Diceros bicornis minor: one gene and its partner. The protein of the gene in region 2 purifies or fractionates together with the protein of the main gene of each other region. This does not show direct contact. Links are inferred from orthologs where the notes say so. Each region holds a gene or a part of one and is shown on either strand. Other genes may lie near its edges.

The links.
Region 1: the proteins of ATP11C (region 2) and TMEM30A purify together in Homo sapiens (co-immunoprecipitation; 4 studies listed by BioGRID and IntAct, with this or other methods). This does not show direct contact. The link is inferred for Diceros bicornis minor from reciprocal best matches to the Homo sapiens genes ATP11C and TMEM30A.

The regions. Positions count from the first base shown.
Region 1 is NC_080762.1:55,435,327-55,442,852, forward strand, and holds the start of TMEM30A (cell cycle control protein 50A), read left to right. Parts: upstream 1-4,392; 5' UTR 4,393-4,467; coding exon 4,468-4,704; intron 4,705-7,526. UniProt on the Homo sapiens protein: Accessory component of a P4-ATPase flippase complex which catalyzes the hydrolysis of ATP coupled to the transport of aminophospholipids from the outer to the inner leaflet of various membranes and ensures the maintenance of asymmetric distribution of phospholipids.
Region 2 is NC_080781.1:126,899,535-126,907,303, reverse strand, and holds the start of ATP11C (phospholipid-transporting ATPase IG), read left to right. Parts: upstream 1-4,672; 5' UTR 4,673-4,795; coding exon 4,796-4,822; intron 4,823-7,769. UniProt on the Homo sapiens protein: Catalytic component of a P4-ATPase flippase complex which catalyzes the hydrolysis of ATP coupled to the transport of aminophospholipids, phosphatidylserines (PS) and phosphatidylethanolamines (PE), from the outer to the inner leaflet of the plasma membrane.

The DNA of each region.
Region 1 (7,526 bases), on a different chromosome or scaffold from region 2:
TTGAGGGTGCCTCCCCCCACCGCCCCAGAGGCCCTGGCCGATTTTAAGTTTAAAAATCACAGTCATTTCTCATGTGCATTTCTAACTAAATGGACAGACTTAACCAAAAGTAATCTAGAATATCAATGGCCATTATGGGGAACTTCTGAACTCCTTAAAGTTACTTTTCTTAAAACCAAATTGGACAATCATAGCTCTGTAATTTCCAAAACTAAATGGAACACCTATTTCAATTGGTATTTTGAGGCTTCCAAATGTTATAGGAGTCTAAAATTGCTCTTTTGTAAAATAAAATTTTAAGATTAACTGAGGCAAAGAATTAAAGAAAGATAAAATGGCTTCTGAAGCCTCATGTTCCTTTCTCCTGGCTCCTCATGCTCAGGCTCCACCTCTGGTGCCATCTTCCTCCCTCCCTTCTGTAGGGTCTAAACCTCATCTCTACTCTGTCCCCCCTACTAACACTCTTGCTGAACTTCCCCCTTTTCCCTGAACCTCTCCCCACTCCTCTTCCTCTGAACCTATCAGAACATGTCCTTTTAAAATTAAGCCTTCTGAGGATCCAAAGGCTAAACCCTTAACTTCTTATATTCTCTGGACTAAAGCTGAACTTTGAGCCATAGTCAAAGATTTCCCCAAAGTAACTGAAGATCCTCACAGAGTTGATGAGGAATTTAATATAGTCATTCAGACACTGGGTATTATCAGGCCCTGTGGCATGGGGATACCCCCTTGCCTTAGGGCAATTATTGCCACTGTCCTCTGGGTTAAGGCCACTGAGAAAATGGTTGTGGGATCCCCTTTAACCATTTTTCTTCCTCAGGCAGTAAAAGCCCTCCTGAATTTTCATCACAGTCAACATATTTCAGCCAGCCGCCTCACCTATGAAATCCCTTTGTTAGCTGCTCCCCACATAACTCTTTTATGTTGTTAAAGCCTTAACCCTGCTACTCTTCTCCCCTCCATTACTGACGAAGTCGCTGTTGACTGCTTAACACTGACAGATCACATCCTGACTCCTTGTGATGATCTGCAGCAAACTCCTTTGGAAGTTTTCCTGCAAACTTCCTTTGCAGGAAACTCCACCGACTTCTCATGGTTTACTGATGGTTCTTATTTAAAAGTTGACAATGGCAAATATTGTGCTGGATAGCAACTCCTTTTGATATTGCTAAGGCAGTACCTTTACCTATGGCTATTTTGGCCCAACAGCCTGAATTATACACTGTTACATGGGCCTGTACTTTAGCCAATGGCAAAAGTGCCAATATTTATACTGGTGGTAGATCTGCTTTCAGAGTAGCTTATGATTTTGGAATGTTGTGGAAGCAATCAGAAATTATTGGATGCTATACTTTTACCTGCTGCTTTAGCTATTATTAAGATCCTGGGGCATTCTCAACTTGACTCTCTGGAAGCTAAAGGAAATCACCTTGCTGATATTTCTGTAAGAATGCAGCCCTTAAAGGAACCAACAACAGCCAAGCCTCTGTCATGGTCCAAAGGGATATTTCCCCTAATGATAACTTAGAAACCTGACTAGAGAAGCCCAACAACTGGCCTCAGAAAAGGAAAAACAAGATCAGAAATTCAACAATTGTTGGCTTGATAAAAAGAGAAAGCTCTGGTTCAGATCACATAACAATCCAGCCCTGTTGGAGACTAAAATTCCCACTCCTAACCACTGTCACTGTACATGCATCAAGCCATTGGTCTACTGACAAAATGATAGCATTCATGAATCAGTATTGGTGGGGAAATATTAACAAGGTTGCAAAAAATGCCTACCTCACTTCTCCCACTTGTCCAAAATACAACCCATGGAAGCCTGTTCATACTGTTCCTGGACATTGAAATTGCCTAATGGACCATTCAAGTTTTGGCAAATGGATTTCATACAGCTTCTCCCATCTCATGGATATAAATATGTTTTAGTTGTGGTTTGTATGTCTTCTCACTGTCCTTGCAGACAGGCTACTGTCTCTTCTGTGGCTAACGTCCTTTTGGAAAGGATTATCCCTACCTGAGGGACTCCGCTCAAGCTTCATAGTGACTGAGCAACCCATTTTACTGGTCAGGTACTTCGACAAGTCTACGCTGTTTGGCCAGTTTTACAACACTCACGTTGTGCCTACCACCCTCAATCCTCTGGTTTAGCTGACCACACTAATGGCATTATTAAGACTTAATTGGCAAAACTTGTAGAGACCTTCAAATGCCTGGGCCAAAAGCACTGCCATTGGTCCTTCTAAATCTCAGATCCACCCCCTTTAGAACTCACAAACTCTCACCCTTTGAGATAGTCATGGGACGCCAAGTGCACTTGGCTTCTGCGTCTTTTGACCCACAGCTGATAAAAGGACATACACTCCAATATTGCAAAGGCCTAATTGTTTTTATTAAAATTAACCATGTTTTGGTAATCTTTTCACAGTTTGCTTCAGGGAGACAAAGCCCTTAAGCATCATACCTTGCAACCTGGAGATTGTGTCTATTGGAAAAGACACCTCCAGAAGGACTCTCTTCAACCTCATTGGAAAGGCCCCTATCAGGTACTGTTAACCAACCCTTGTGCCACAAAACTCCAGGGAATAGACTCTTGGATTCACGTGACACATCTAAAGAAAGCACCAAACCCTGACTGGTCCTACACATCATCTGGTGACCTGAAAGTAGAGTTCCTGGTATTGAGGCAGATGATATGTGATAAAGCAGCTTTCCCAAGATGTCCAGACCAGGCCTATTGGAAGTGTGTCTGCCAAACCTTTGATGATGACATAATGCTGCAGATGATCTCCAGTGCTTATGATCATGAAAACATATGGACTTTAGAAAAGAAAAATGCCTAGGAGTTTTCCTATCCTTGTTACTCAATTGTGGCCTCAATAGATTTCCAACCTGTGCACTTTCCCTCCGACAGGACACAGAGGAAAAGCCCTTCCTGGCATGGAATGACCAAAAGCTGCTGAATCTAGAAAAACCTGACTCTTGATCAACGAAGCTTTTAGAGAAAGACCGTGATCAAAAGCAGAAAATGACAGGGCCAGCCTGGTGGCACAGCAGTCAAATCCTTGCCTTCTGCTTTGGCAGCCCAGAGTTTGTAGGTTCAGATCCTGGGCATGGACCTACTCACTGCTCATCAGGCCATGCTGAGGTGGCATCCCACATAGAGCAACTAGAAGGATGCACAACTATGATGTGCGGCTATCTGCTGGGGCTTTGGGGAGAAAAAACAAAAAGAGGAAGATTGGCAACAGATGTTAGCTCAGGGCCAATCTTCCTGAACAAACAAAAAAAGAAGCATCTTCTCCCAACTTAAAAAAAAATGGGGGGAAGCCAATGTCAAATTAACAAAAAACCTCATTAAATTGGAATTGGGAGGCCAAATGGGGAGCTCTCACACCTTATGTCAAGTGCAGAGTCCAACAGGAAGAAGGAAGACTTCCTCTTCTTGATCGGCGTAAAGCTCAGCCAATCAGAGACTGCCCCAACCCAGTCACGTGAAAAGCCACTACACCTGAAACCCTCAGTTCCTCCAGTGGACTGTTCATAGTAGTCCTCCCAACGTCCTCTTCTTCTCTCTAAAAGAGGTCTCCTGCCTTGCTGCTGGGGGACTCACCCGCAGCTTACCATGGTTGCAGAGAGCGCACTTGCAATTCTTTGCTGATCTTGAACAAACTCATTTTTGCTGGAGTAATAACTGGCTATTTGTTTCAGGTCAACAGAAGCAAGATAATAGGATTAGCCAAGTCACATGATCTATTCTTTACTTTAGGACAAAAGGGTCATCCATCACACAACTCACTTAAGGTTTATATCTGCACTGTGAGTGGAAGTTTACTTATTTTAATCAGAGAAAAGTCGCGGTTTTTACAACCCCGGCAAACAGTGCCAATCCCACCAGGCTCAAGCTCCCCGGTGTGGTCTTTTAAACACGCCAGTCCCTTCGAAGAAGTCTTCCAGGTAACACAAAAACCTGTCTGGCGCCGAAGCCTCTCAGTCAGCGGCTCTAGGGACACGGCGACAACGGCGGCCAGGGGCGTGCGTTCAGACGTGCGAGCTAGAAGGTCCACTGCCATGACAACCAGAGCAGGGCGCAGGTGGGCGCCCACGGAAGCCCGGCGAGCGGGGCGGCGCATGCGCTAACGTACCTCACGCTCGGGGGCTGAGGCCTTCACTTTGTCGTCACAGGGCAGATGGTCAGGCTGCGTCCGCCTCTTCCCTCTCCCTCCACCGTCGGCCTTTTCCCTTCCCCTCCATTCTCCCTCTTCCCCTCCCCTAGTCCCTCCGTCTCCTCCCTCCCGCAGGCCCCCGCCCACCCCCACTTCCGGTCCGCGGCCGTCGGCGGAAGGGTGCCCCGCCTCTTCCGCCTTGGCGGCGGCGGTGGCGCCTGCGCGTCCCCTGTCAGGGTCAGCTGGCGGGTTCCCTGGGCCGTCCACCTGCGTGTCGCGGAGCCGTGCCCGGGGGTCGATGGCGATGAACTATAACGCCAAGGATGAAGTGGACGGTGGGCCCCCGTGCGCCCCTGGGGGCGCCGCCAAGACCCGGAGACCGGACAACACGGCCTTCAAACAGCAGCGGCTGCCGGCCTGGCAGCCCATCCTCACGGCCGGCACGGTGCTGCCCACCTTCTTCATCATCGGCCTCATCTTCATCCCCATCGGCATCGGCATCTTCGTCACCTCCAACAACATCCGCGAGATCGAGGTGAGCGGAGGGCCGGCGGGGCGCCTGCCTCGCCCCGGGTGGGCGCGGGCCCCTCCCCGCGTCTTGGCTCCCCTCCGCCGTTGCTGCGTCCTCTGCCTGCGCGTTTCCTGAGCTTGGGGTCTGTCCACGCGTCCTCGTGCTCGCCGTTCACACGGTTGGAGGCGGAATGAACGTAAACGCGGAGGGCGGGGCGCGGAGAAGGCCCCTTGAGTGGGCGCTCTGTGTGGTTCGGTGGGGGATTTTCGCCTCCAACGGAGGTTAAACAAAAGAGAAGTGGGAAAGTGGAAGTTCTATCTAGATGTAGCTCCAGGACAGTTGACGTGGTTAGAGTGCCATTACCTGGGTGGGGATTATCGCAGGACGCAGAGATGAACACCTTGGCCATTGTTGGGAAAAGGACCCGGAGTCATAGAGGTATTGATGATTTTTTGTGAAGTTGTCGTATCTTACCAGGTGACATCTTAGGACATGTGACCGAAATGTGCACAGTACCTTTCATTTTGAGGTAATAGGTGATTTTAGTTGTAGGGCATGATAGAGGTAAAGGTAACCGGAAACTTCAATTCCGATTTTGGTTTTAGGCTGTGTTTATTAATAACCATGCCCTACATTCACCCTAGTCTTTTTTTTCCCCTAGATTTTAAACTTTAAAGAAAAGAGTCAGTGACCACACACAGGATAAGTCGCATTGTCTACTGAGCATTTTACTGATCAAAGACATCACAGAAACGGGGAAGCATCTTGATTTCTGTCAGAGCAGCAATCATGGTATCGTGATCCATCTGCAGTGGTGAAGATAGGTTGATCCTAGAATGTAAATACTTTGTATGGATGTCCAGCATTAAACGTCTGCTCATCCTCGTTTCTTGAATATCTGAGGGTATTTTTGTCTGTTTGAAAGAGCAGGAACTGGCACTAAGTTCTCTTGATTTCTTCTGTTCTGTAGCAGGTTATGTCATTTTTTCCCTCTAATTTTATTAAACACTTTTAAATTTATGCATGTGCTTTGATAGGGCTTTCAGCGTAGTTTCATTTCAGCTATAGGAATAGGCATAAAGATAACTGTTTTTCAGTTTAATTTACAGTTACCTCTGAAAGCAAAATCAATATATTTTTTAATTGTACAGTGCTCATTTCGTTATTAATAACAGTAATAAGAATAGTATCTATAGTTTTTAAACCTTTTACTAAAAATTTATTTTCAGTTTAATAACTAGAGAAAGTGTCACAGTATGTTTTTTCAGCATGTATTTTTATCATTTTTTTCTCCCTAATGGTACTTAATATGTAGTACTTCTTGTTCTCCCAGCCACACTAGGATCACACATATCAGGATATGAGCAAAGTGGGGTAATGCAAGGACCGTGGGCTGTAGGCTGGAGTCAGGCAGAGGTGGCTTTCAATTCCAGCTCAGCCACTAGCTAGCTCAGTTTCTTGGAAAACTTAGTCTCTCTGAGCCTGTTTCCACACCTGTAAAATAGATAAATAATGCCTATCTTGTAAGATGTGAGAATTAGAAACAATATAGTAGATTAGATTCCTGGCACTAAGTTTGTACAATGAATAGTTACTGTTATGATGACTAGTAATCAGGAGTAGGGAAATGGGGTCAGAGGGATTGATAGTTGCTAGTAAGTTAGAAGAGTATTTTAAAATTGAGACGGAAACCCAAAGGTAGATGTCTTGATTCCCAGCCTTAACCTTTGACATTACACTAGGGGCCTTACTGCGATGTTAGTGAAGTAGAAGAAAATAATTTAACTTAGAAATTTGATCATCTTATTTAAACTTCTTAAGATATTAGGATGAACATAGCAGTAATTTGGAATTTTATGTGGTGGGTATTTAGATGAACATAGCAGTAATGTGGAATTTTATATGATGGGTATTTACTAAATTATCAGAATCAATGTCTGTTAATATTTACTATACTGTGAAAATAAATTCTTTAAAATTTTGAGGTTCTGAAATAAAATAAGGTTTTCACACTAAGTGGTTGGTGAAGTTGAAATTTCTTAAATAATTCTCATGTGTGTAATTCTGGTTTCAAGTTGCCTGAAGAGTCTGCTGCAGTTTGGTTTGGTTAAAAGGGCACTGAAGTTGGGGCCGGCCCGGTGGCGCAAGCGGTTGAGTGCGCGCGCTCCGCTGCGGCGGCCCGGGGTTCGCTGGTTCGGATCCCGGGCGTGCACCGACGCACTGCTTGGCAAGCCGTGCTGTGGCGGCGTCCCATATAAAGTGGAGGAAGATGGGCACAGATGTTAGCCCAGGGCCGTCTTCCTCAGCAAAAAAAAAAAAAAAAAAAAGAGGAGGATTGGCGGATGTTAGCACTAGGGCTGATCTCCTCACAAAAAAAAAAAAAAAAAAGGGCACTGAAGTTAAAAGAGTCCAGGCATTGGAGTTGAAGTCCCAGCTCTGTTACTCTCTAGTTTGTGGCATATTTTTAATTCTCAGTTTTTTTACTTGAAGAACCAAGATTCAGACTTGATGATCTCTAAGATGCTGTTCAACTGTAAAATTCTTTGACTTCCAACTTTAATGTGATTAAAAAAAAATGCTGCGTATTCAAATTGTATCACCTTTGGAACCAGAGGAAATGAAAATTAGGAATGATTGGAAATTTTGTACCAGCACTGACATATAGTTGTGCAAATAGAATCAAAAAATGTTTTTTTTATTTGCTTGTTAAATATGTAGGAAATTGGTTCTGGAGTTATTAGAAGAACCTAGGGAGCTTTCCCAAAACACACGTTTCCACTTGCTTTCCACCCTTTTTTGGCCGCTAGTTTAGTTTAAAGTGTGTTGAGGGTAATAACCCTCAAAAG
Region 2 (7,769 bases):
GATAAAGATTTAGTCTTCTTATGTTATATCCTCTCTAACCTCTTCTCTGTCTATCCTCCCAATATAGTTTGGAAGAATGTAGAATTCTGAATTAGAAATCATTTTCTCAGAATCTTGAAGGCCAGACTATATCTCAGTGAATTCATTGTGGATCCTAGTGATTGCCTCTTCCCTTCCACTGTAATAAACTATCCTAGCCCTTTAATAGTCGGTTCTAGAAACTTGCATGCCTTTGATAGCATGATTACTAGAATATATCTACTTCTCCTTTTTGAAAAGCAAAACAATATTATATCATCCACAATCCCCTTGGACTTCTGCTGTTCTCCATGGTTACAAACCTCATTTGTCAGTATCCTCGATGTAATTAATATGGACTATTTGGGGCACTGTAACAGGAAGCCCTGATCTCATCTGACAAAGTGACATTTAAGCTGAGATCTGAAGTATGAATAGCAAAGGCCATGAAAGCATTCCAGCAGAGATGGTTGCATGTGCAAAAGCTGTCAGGGGAGAAGGAGCTTTGGGAACTCAAAGGATGAAAGGTGGCCAGTGGGGTGGAGCTTGGTGAGTGAGGGGGAGAGTAGCCCCTCCCCCCGGGGTTATAGAGGAAGGCAGAGGTCAGAGAACTCAGAGACTTGCAGATGATGTTACGGCAAGATTTGGGACTTATTCTAAGAGCAAGGATAAGCTACTGAAAAGTCATAAGCAGGGGAGTGATTTGATCTCTCTTCCAAAGATTTCTGTGGTTACAGTGTGGAGAATGAATTGAAGAGGGCCAATAGTTAGGAAGATATGGGTAAAACTGGTCTTAAATAAACATTAAGACTAGCCTGGGAAGGGAGAAAGAAATTTCAAACAGGCAAAAAGTACCCTTAGAGGTATGTTTGAAAGCTCAGCAGAGACAGTTGAATTTCTTCAACTTGCTGATGGCAGTGATTTAAATGATGATATAACAGCTTCAATTTCTTTCTTTCTTTTTTTTAGTGTTAGATGGAAGAAGTGACTCCTTCTTCTCACCATTCCCTTCCTGCTGGATCCCTGAATTGCTGACCAACTGACCCAGAAGCAGTTTGCTCCCCTCCTTCCCAAGTGTGGACTGCATCCCATGCTCTAGTGGTTGTTGCGCGCATCTGCCATGGTGAGATTTCTGAGGGGTTGGGGTAGAATGTGGGAAAGAACAAGGGGGGCAGTAGAGAAGAAGGACTTCTGAGCAGCTTGCACAGAAATGAGGCAGCAGAATTGAAATGGTCAAGGAACACTTTTCCTTCCCTTTCTCCAGACAGAAAGCATCATATCTAGTCAAGATGGTAACAAGGACAGAAGACTGCTTCCTCTGAATTCCTGCCTGCAGGAGTCTGGGGCTTCTGCCGCAGTCAGCTGATACACCACAAGAGTTGGTGTTCTGTACCACGGGTTCTGACAGTTTAGGCAAGAGGAAGTTAGTTTTTGCAGTTCTGTTTATGGAATTGGCCGAATGAAAATGCTGGCCGATGGTCTGCTTTTCATAGTCATTGACAACAGCTTCCTACAACACCTGGGTTTTCTTTGGAAACTGTGAAGAGGCACTGAAAAGAGCAAAAATAATTTCTTCTTGTCTTAAAAAAAAATCCACAAAGGAAAGTAACTCTTAAAGGATATATGTGAGAGTAACTCTCATTTCAGGTTGAGTTTGAATATGGAAAAAAATTACCCTGCATAAATTTCATGTTTTGCTGAGCATACGTTGATTTGTTTGGAATTGCATTTTTACAGTCAAGCAAATTAGTCGGGACCCATGAGTATAGGTGTTGTGATGAAATAAATTAGGAGGACATAGAGATAACAGAATTGTAATAACAAATGAAAATATCACCAACAATACTGCTATATCTTGGAGGATCCTAAACGTCTTGCTTTTAAGTTGGACCACACTCACAGGATGGTGGGTGAGAGAATCCTGCAAAACAATTTCCAGTTCTCTCATTTTTTTTAAGTTGATCTATTTGAATCTATAAGCAAAGTACAATTTTTTCCATTTGTTTAACAAAATTGTATATGGAAAGATATTACTTATTGTGTACTAGTAAGCACTTACAGCTCCAAATGTCTAAATTTGTTTTCTATTACCTATTTAATTGATAAGAATGTATTTTATTGATAAGGATTCTAGACTTATGCCTAGAATGAATGACAATAATCTCTTCCACCCCCAAATTCCAGTATCTAGAATAGTGCCTGCCACATACTAGGTGTTCAACAAATAAAGAGGGAATTAAATTACATTAGTTGCTGTGTTTAATAAAAGTAAAGCCAGAAAATAAACTCTGAAAATAAATTTTTGAAATAGTAGAGAGCAAAACCTTAGATTCATTTTGCCAATAAAATAAAATATCCTAATATCTGATTAATATACATTTAACATAAATCTTAGAAATCATTAGCTGTAGCCTCAAGGGTGAGCAAACAGAAGGAACCATAATAGAGAAAGAATTGGAAACAAACGGTTTTACTTCTTGACAATTAGGACAGTTTGGGAACATACCTTAAATCTCCTGCATCTGCACTTCATTGGGGATAGGCTACTCGTTGGTCACAGAATCAAGTTCAAAATTCGTAGGGTGTTTCTGAAGATCCTTTTGGGGTTTAGCGTTCATTCGGGCCGCCCCTGACCACGTATCCTGAGCGTCTGCCAAGACGATGGGTGGATATGTTCCTTTTCTTAGCTTGTCCTGCACTTTCTCACCGACCCCTCCCTCCCCCCTGGACTTTACCCACTTGGGCTCCTGTCAGTTCCTCTAAAGCCTTCCCACATTTCAAGGCCCAGTTTAATCTCCAGCGCTTTCAGAAAAGCTTCCCCGAGCCCCTTTTCAGATGCAATATCGTTCTCCCCTATTTCCCTCAGTACTTTGAACCTCTATTCTAGCAGCCATTACTTTCTAACGTGTTGTTTTTGCACGTCGGTATCCCCTGACTAGATTGCGACCACTCTGTTGGGGAGGTCTTTTAAGACCTAACCGTGTCCAGCCCCTAGCACAGTGCCTGGCACAGAGAAGATGCCCAGTTAATGTTTGTTGAAACGAATCTAAACACCAGAGGGGAAAAGGAGAAGCGCCTGTGGCCGGCAGTAAGGGCCCCTTCACGACCCGAGGGGAGGCCCGTGGTGTCGCTGGACCCTGTCTCCAGCTCTAGACTGGCAGGAGAATGTGGTGCGGCAGAAGGCTCGTGTAAATGTCTCAGAACTCCGTTTACTTATTTCTTCTTTACTTTTATAAAGGATTCTTGGAAGTTCTCTCCAACAGCTTCGGGGCAAGCCATAAAGGGCGGCGCAAGCTGGGGGAAGTGGGGGTTGGGATGCTCAGTCTCGTGGCAATTCTAGACTCAGCCTACATATTTAATTTTTAAAGTTTCGCAAATTCCAGTTCTAAACTAGGAGCCAAGGGTGTAGAGAATTTCCTGGTGCACAATTTTCGCGTCCTAGGGAAGTCTGCCAGCATTCGGGGCTTTGCCTCATTTATCCTTCTCACATTTCCCACCGCGAGGAATCTACCGAGAGCTCCCAGCCTTCACATCCAGCCGGTGCTGAGAACCGCGATTCGGCCCAGCGGTCTCAGCCGGTTCCTCCTTCAACCCTCTGGGCAAACCTTGTACGGGCGAGTGGGGGAGCTCCCAGCCCGCAGTACGAGGCGGAATAGGAGCACGGTTGGACTACAACTCCCAGGCTGCTCTGGGAAAAGTGCGGGGGGGAGGAGGCGAGAGGGAGGGGTTTGGGGTGGGGGTTGGCAGGGAAATCCCGCCCCGCTGCGCAGCAGCAAAGACACAAAGCCCGACTTTACAACCTCATAGAGAAAGTGGAAGTAAGACGGCTAGGTGGGGAGGCAGGACGAGAGAAAGAACCAGAGGAGGGAAAGCCGCGTAGGTGGGAGCGGAGCGAAGCGAGGGTAGTGGGAAGACCCGCGGCTTTCCAGATGAGGAGGGGGCGGCTTTCATAACTAATTCCCCCGCCCGCGCTGGGGTCTGCAGAGTGCCCTGCCCGTCCCCACTCCTAGCTCAGAGCCCGGCTCCTCCCCGCCGGGAATCGTGGAGCCCGCCTGCCTTGCGGGCTCGGGGCGGGCCAGCGCGCTGCATCGTGGCTCCCCAGCCCGGGTGCGGGACGAAAGCGCGGGGTGGCGCGGCTGCCGCGGGCCGAGGAGGGGCTGCGGGCGAAGCGGCGCCGCGGACGAGTTAGGGCCGGGGCAGGGGAGGCTGTGGCTCCCGACCGAGCTAGGGGCGGAGTGGGGCTGAAGCGAGGTTCGGCGCGGGCTGCCCCGAGTGGGGCGGAAGCACGCGGGCTGGCCGCCGAGGCCAGCGGGGAAGGCGGGCGGTGGCCCTGCGCCGGGGAAGAGTGCAGGCAACGGGGTGCCGAGGCCGGCGCTGGCGGAGAGATTGGGGCGCCCTCCTCCCCGCAGGAGGAGCCTAGCGCTCCTCCGCCATCCCTCCCCCGCGCGCCGAGCTCGCCTTCTCCGCGGGCTGCAGCGGGAGCCGCGGGGCGGCGGTGCTGTGGCCAGATAAGGGAGAGCGGCGGGGCCGCCGGCCCCGGGACGGGCGGGCCGGGGGCGGGGGCGGGCAGTGAGTGAGGCGGGGCGGCGGCCGGCGGGAGGGCGCGGGGCGGGGGGAGCGCGGAGAGCCAAGGAGGGCAGGCGGCGGGCGGGTGGCCGGGCAGCCTGGCTCGCCGTCCGCTCCGCGCCGCCGGCCCCCGCCGCAGTGTGTTTTGTGGACGGCACCTTCCCAGACAGCCAAGTAGAGCCCAGCTCGGCGCCCGGCCGCCTTCGACGTGATGTTCCGCCGGACCTTTAATCGTTTGGTAAGTACACTCGCTGCGGCTCCACGCGTGCCGCTTTGCTTGCTCGCCAGCTCCATCGCCGGGTCCCTCAGAACAGTTTTCTTAGAGCATAATTGCATCTCTGGGAGACACCACCACCCCATTTCCAATTTGAGCTGAAACACGTTGCTCAGGCGGCCGCGGTGGGGAGGCAGGTAGGGCTCTCAGAATACCCCCCCCCCGCCCCGACAATTTAACCAGAGCTTCCCGGGGCTGTTACAAACTCTGCCTCAGACGGGGGCCACCGTCGTGCTGGATGGGGGGCCACTCGTGAGGGGACCGACCCCGGGGTCCTTCGGTTTGCCAATTAGTCGAAGATGGCGTTTTATTATCTGGGAGGTTGCTTTCTTTTGTTTCCTCTGCCACGAGCACATGGAGGTAAACCTAGACCTGTCACTGTGGCCCAAAAAAGACCTGGGGCTGAGAGGGCCGGAGACTGAGGCTGGACTCAGCCCTGCCCGGGGCTCGGCCGGGCGGGCAGCCGCTGATGGGAGGCCGGGCAAACTTTGGAGATCCAGTCCAAGCAGCTCACCTTTAGGGCCCAATAAAAGAGAGGGCGATTGTCAGGGTGGGCTGGGTGATTGTGGAGACGCGAGGAGGCTGCACCGTCGCTGCCGAGCCTCGGGTCTGAAGCCTCTCGGAGCCCTGAACGCCCCAGACGTTGAACCCGTGGGAGAGGCAGGCTGCGGCTGGACCCCTCCGTCCACCTTTATCCCCTTCCAAATCCCCAGAAAAAGGAATTTCATTTCCATGAGAGTTTGGCATAAGGGAAAGTGATTTCTGGCTAATGACTTTTTTTAGTAACCTGTTAACTCCTAGAGGGTACATTCAGAATGGAACAAAACAGGGACCATTTACTTCTATGCTGCTATTTGTAGCAACTTCCTTAATTCCAAGATGAGGTGGCGGGAATAGGATTTTATTTCTGCCAATGATGTGAAAGAAAGGGTTCATTTGTAAATTTTGATTTTTCTGTCTTTAGGAAAAATGGTTGAGTGCTGTGTGCTTCCCCCACCCCTCTTACAATCTATGTTTGAGAACTTGTCGATTTTGTTATTTTCATGTGATTATTCCTAATCAAAGCATTGCTAACATGTTTTATGTGCCGGATGAATTTTCTTTCGTCTTCTTTGCATTTGAAACTTTCACAAATGTACCCTGGCTAAAAGAAATAATTGTATATCTCTTTTTAGGATATTATTATCACAATAGTGCTATGTTAATATTTTTCTGAGTATTTACCTCACCTGGAGGAGAAATTGGAGCAGATTACCTGTGGCACAGAGTAATAGAGGTCGTAGGTATCAAGGATCTTGAAATCCGTAGGAATTGGCTTGTACTGAATGCTTTGCTAAAGCAGGTGACTAAAATTGGTTTCTCACATTTAGCCTGAGAAGGTAAAAGAGCATTGTACTTCATAGTTTTATTTCACATAGATTCTTGTGATCTTAGAGTGTTGTTTCGGGGTTACAAAAAGGGAAAGGTGACAAAGAGAGCTAATTGTAATATTTGAGAAAAGGATAATCTCTTCATATGGCTCTCTTACAGTGGAAAACAACTGGACTCTGGTTTGTAATAAATTCATTAGCTTAAAATTGAGATATTAACATTCCCCCAAGCCCCTTTTTTAAGGTTTTGAACATTTGAAACCAGACAACCCAAGTATTGGTCTCAATGCCCCCTATGCTTTTCTTTTGCTAAGAGTGATCTGCATTGTATCCGAGTCTAGTAATTAAGCAGTACTGGCCCAGGAAGCTAGGGCATGCAGTAGAATTCACAGCAGTTGTTGAGGTGCCAGCCTGCAGGTTTGAGGCTAGTACTTTGCATCCTTGACCAAGATCTCTGCAGAGAATCACGCTCACTCTGAAGTGAGCTTTGACCTCGTTGTTTCTGCTGGAATACCCGACTGCTCACATTTTCCTGCGCAACCATGACTATGGTAAGTCTCAGGAATTTATACCAGTGCAGCAAGCTGGAAGGTTCTCAGGAGTTGTATCTGAGTCCTAGGCCTAGGGCAAGGAATTAATCTGCAAATCATTGCACTGACTGTGAAACAGGCTATCAAATACTCATTGCTAAAGAATGACTTCAAAATTTGAGGGGACAAAATTTTATCTCCCCTAGATCAGTAAGCCATATGCTGTCCTGTCTTTTGCCTGGTAGAGATTATTTGAGGAGCCGTCTCATTTAAATCACTAGAAGCCTGCAATTAAAGATTTAGGTTGGACTTTGAGACTTGCACAGCAATGTAGATGTAGTCCAAGTTGTGTGCTCTCTTTGATTGCTTTTATATTTCAGAGATGGGGCTTTGAATTCCTTTCAAAATTGTGTGTTTTTTTGTGTAGCTATATATGTTTGAAATTGATTTTGAATGTGAAATAAATTACAGTGGTGTTGATTGTAGTTGTTGGTCACTGAAAAATAGACACTACATGTTAGGACAGGGCTTTACATTTTAAACCTGACACGGGAAGTTAATATCTCTTGGGAGTAGCGTCGTCTTCCATGGCTCAGTAGTGTTTGCTGAACTGCTTAAAAAACCCCATTTATTTCCCCAGGTTCTCCAGTTTCAAGCTAAAAGAAATAGTGATTCATTGTATTTTTTAAAGACATGGATTTGACGTCTTTGCCATTAATAATTGTCTTCTTTTCTTTCTGGGTGAATTTTGACTTTCCTTTTGACAGTTTTGAGGTTGAAAGAAACTGGTGGATTTGGTGTAGAGTCTTAGGATTTAGGCATGTAGAGGGTGTCTTAAAAGATTTGAGTTGGATGTCTCTGAGTATAACAAAAGCACAGCCTGTTCCCAGTCGACATCTCCCTTCTCCGTAAATACAATAAATAAATAATAGTAGCTTTGTCTATACAATTGATTTCCCTTAAAGGCATGTTTAATTGGAAGGCTGGACTAGTTGAGACTTAAGAGTCAGG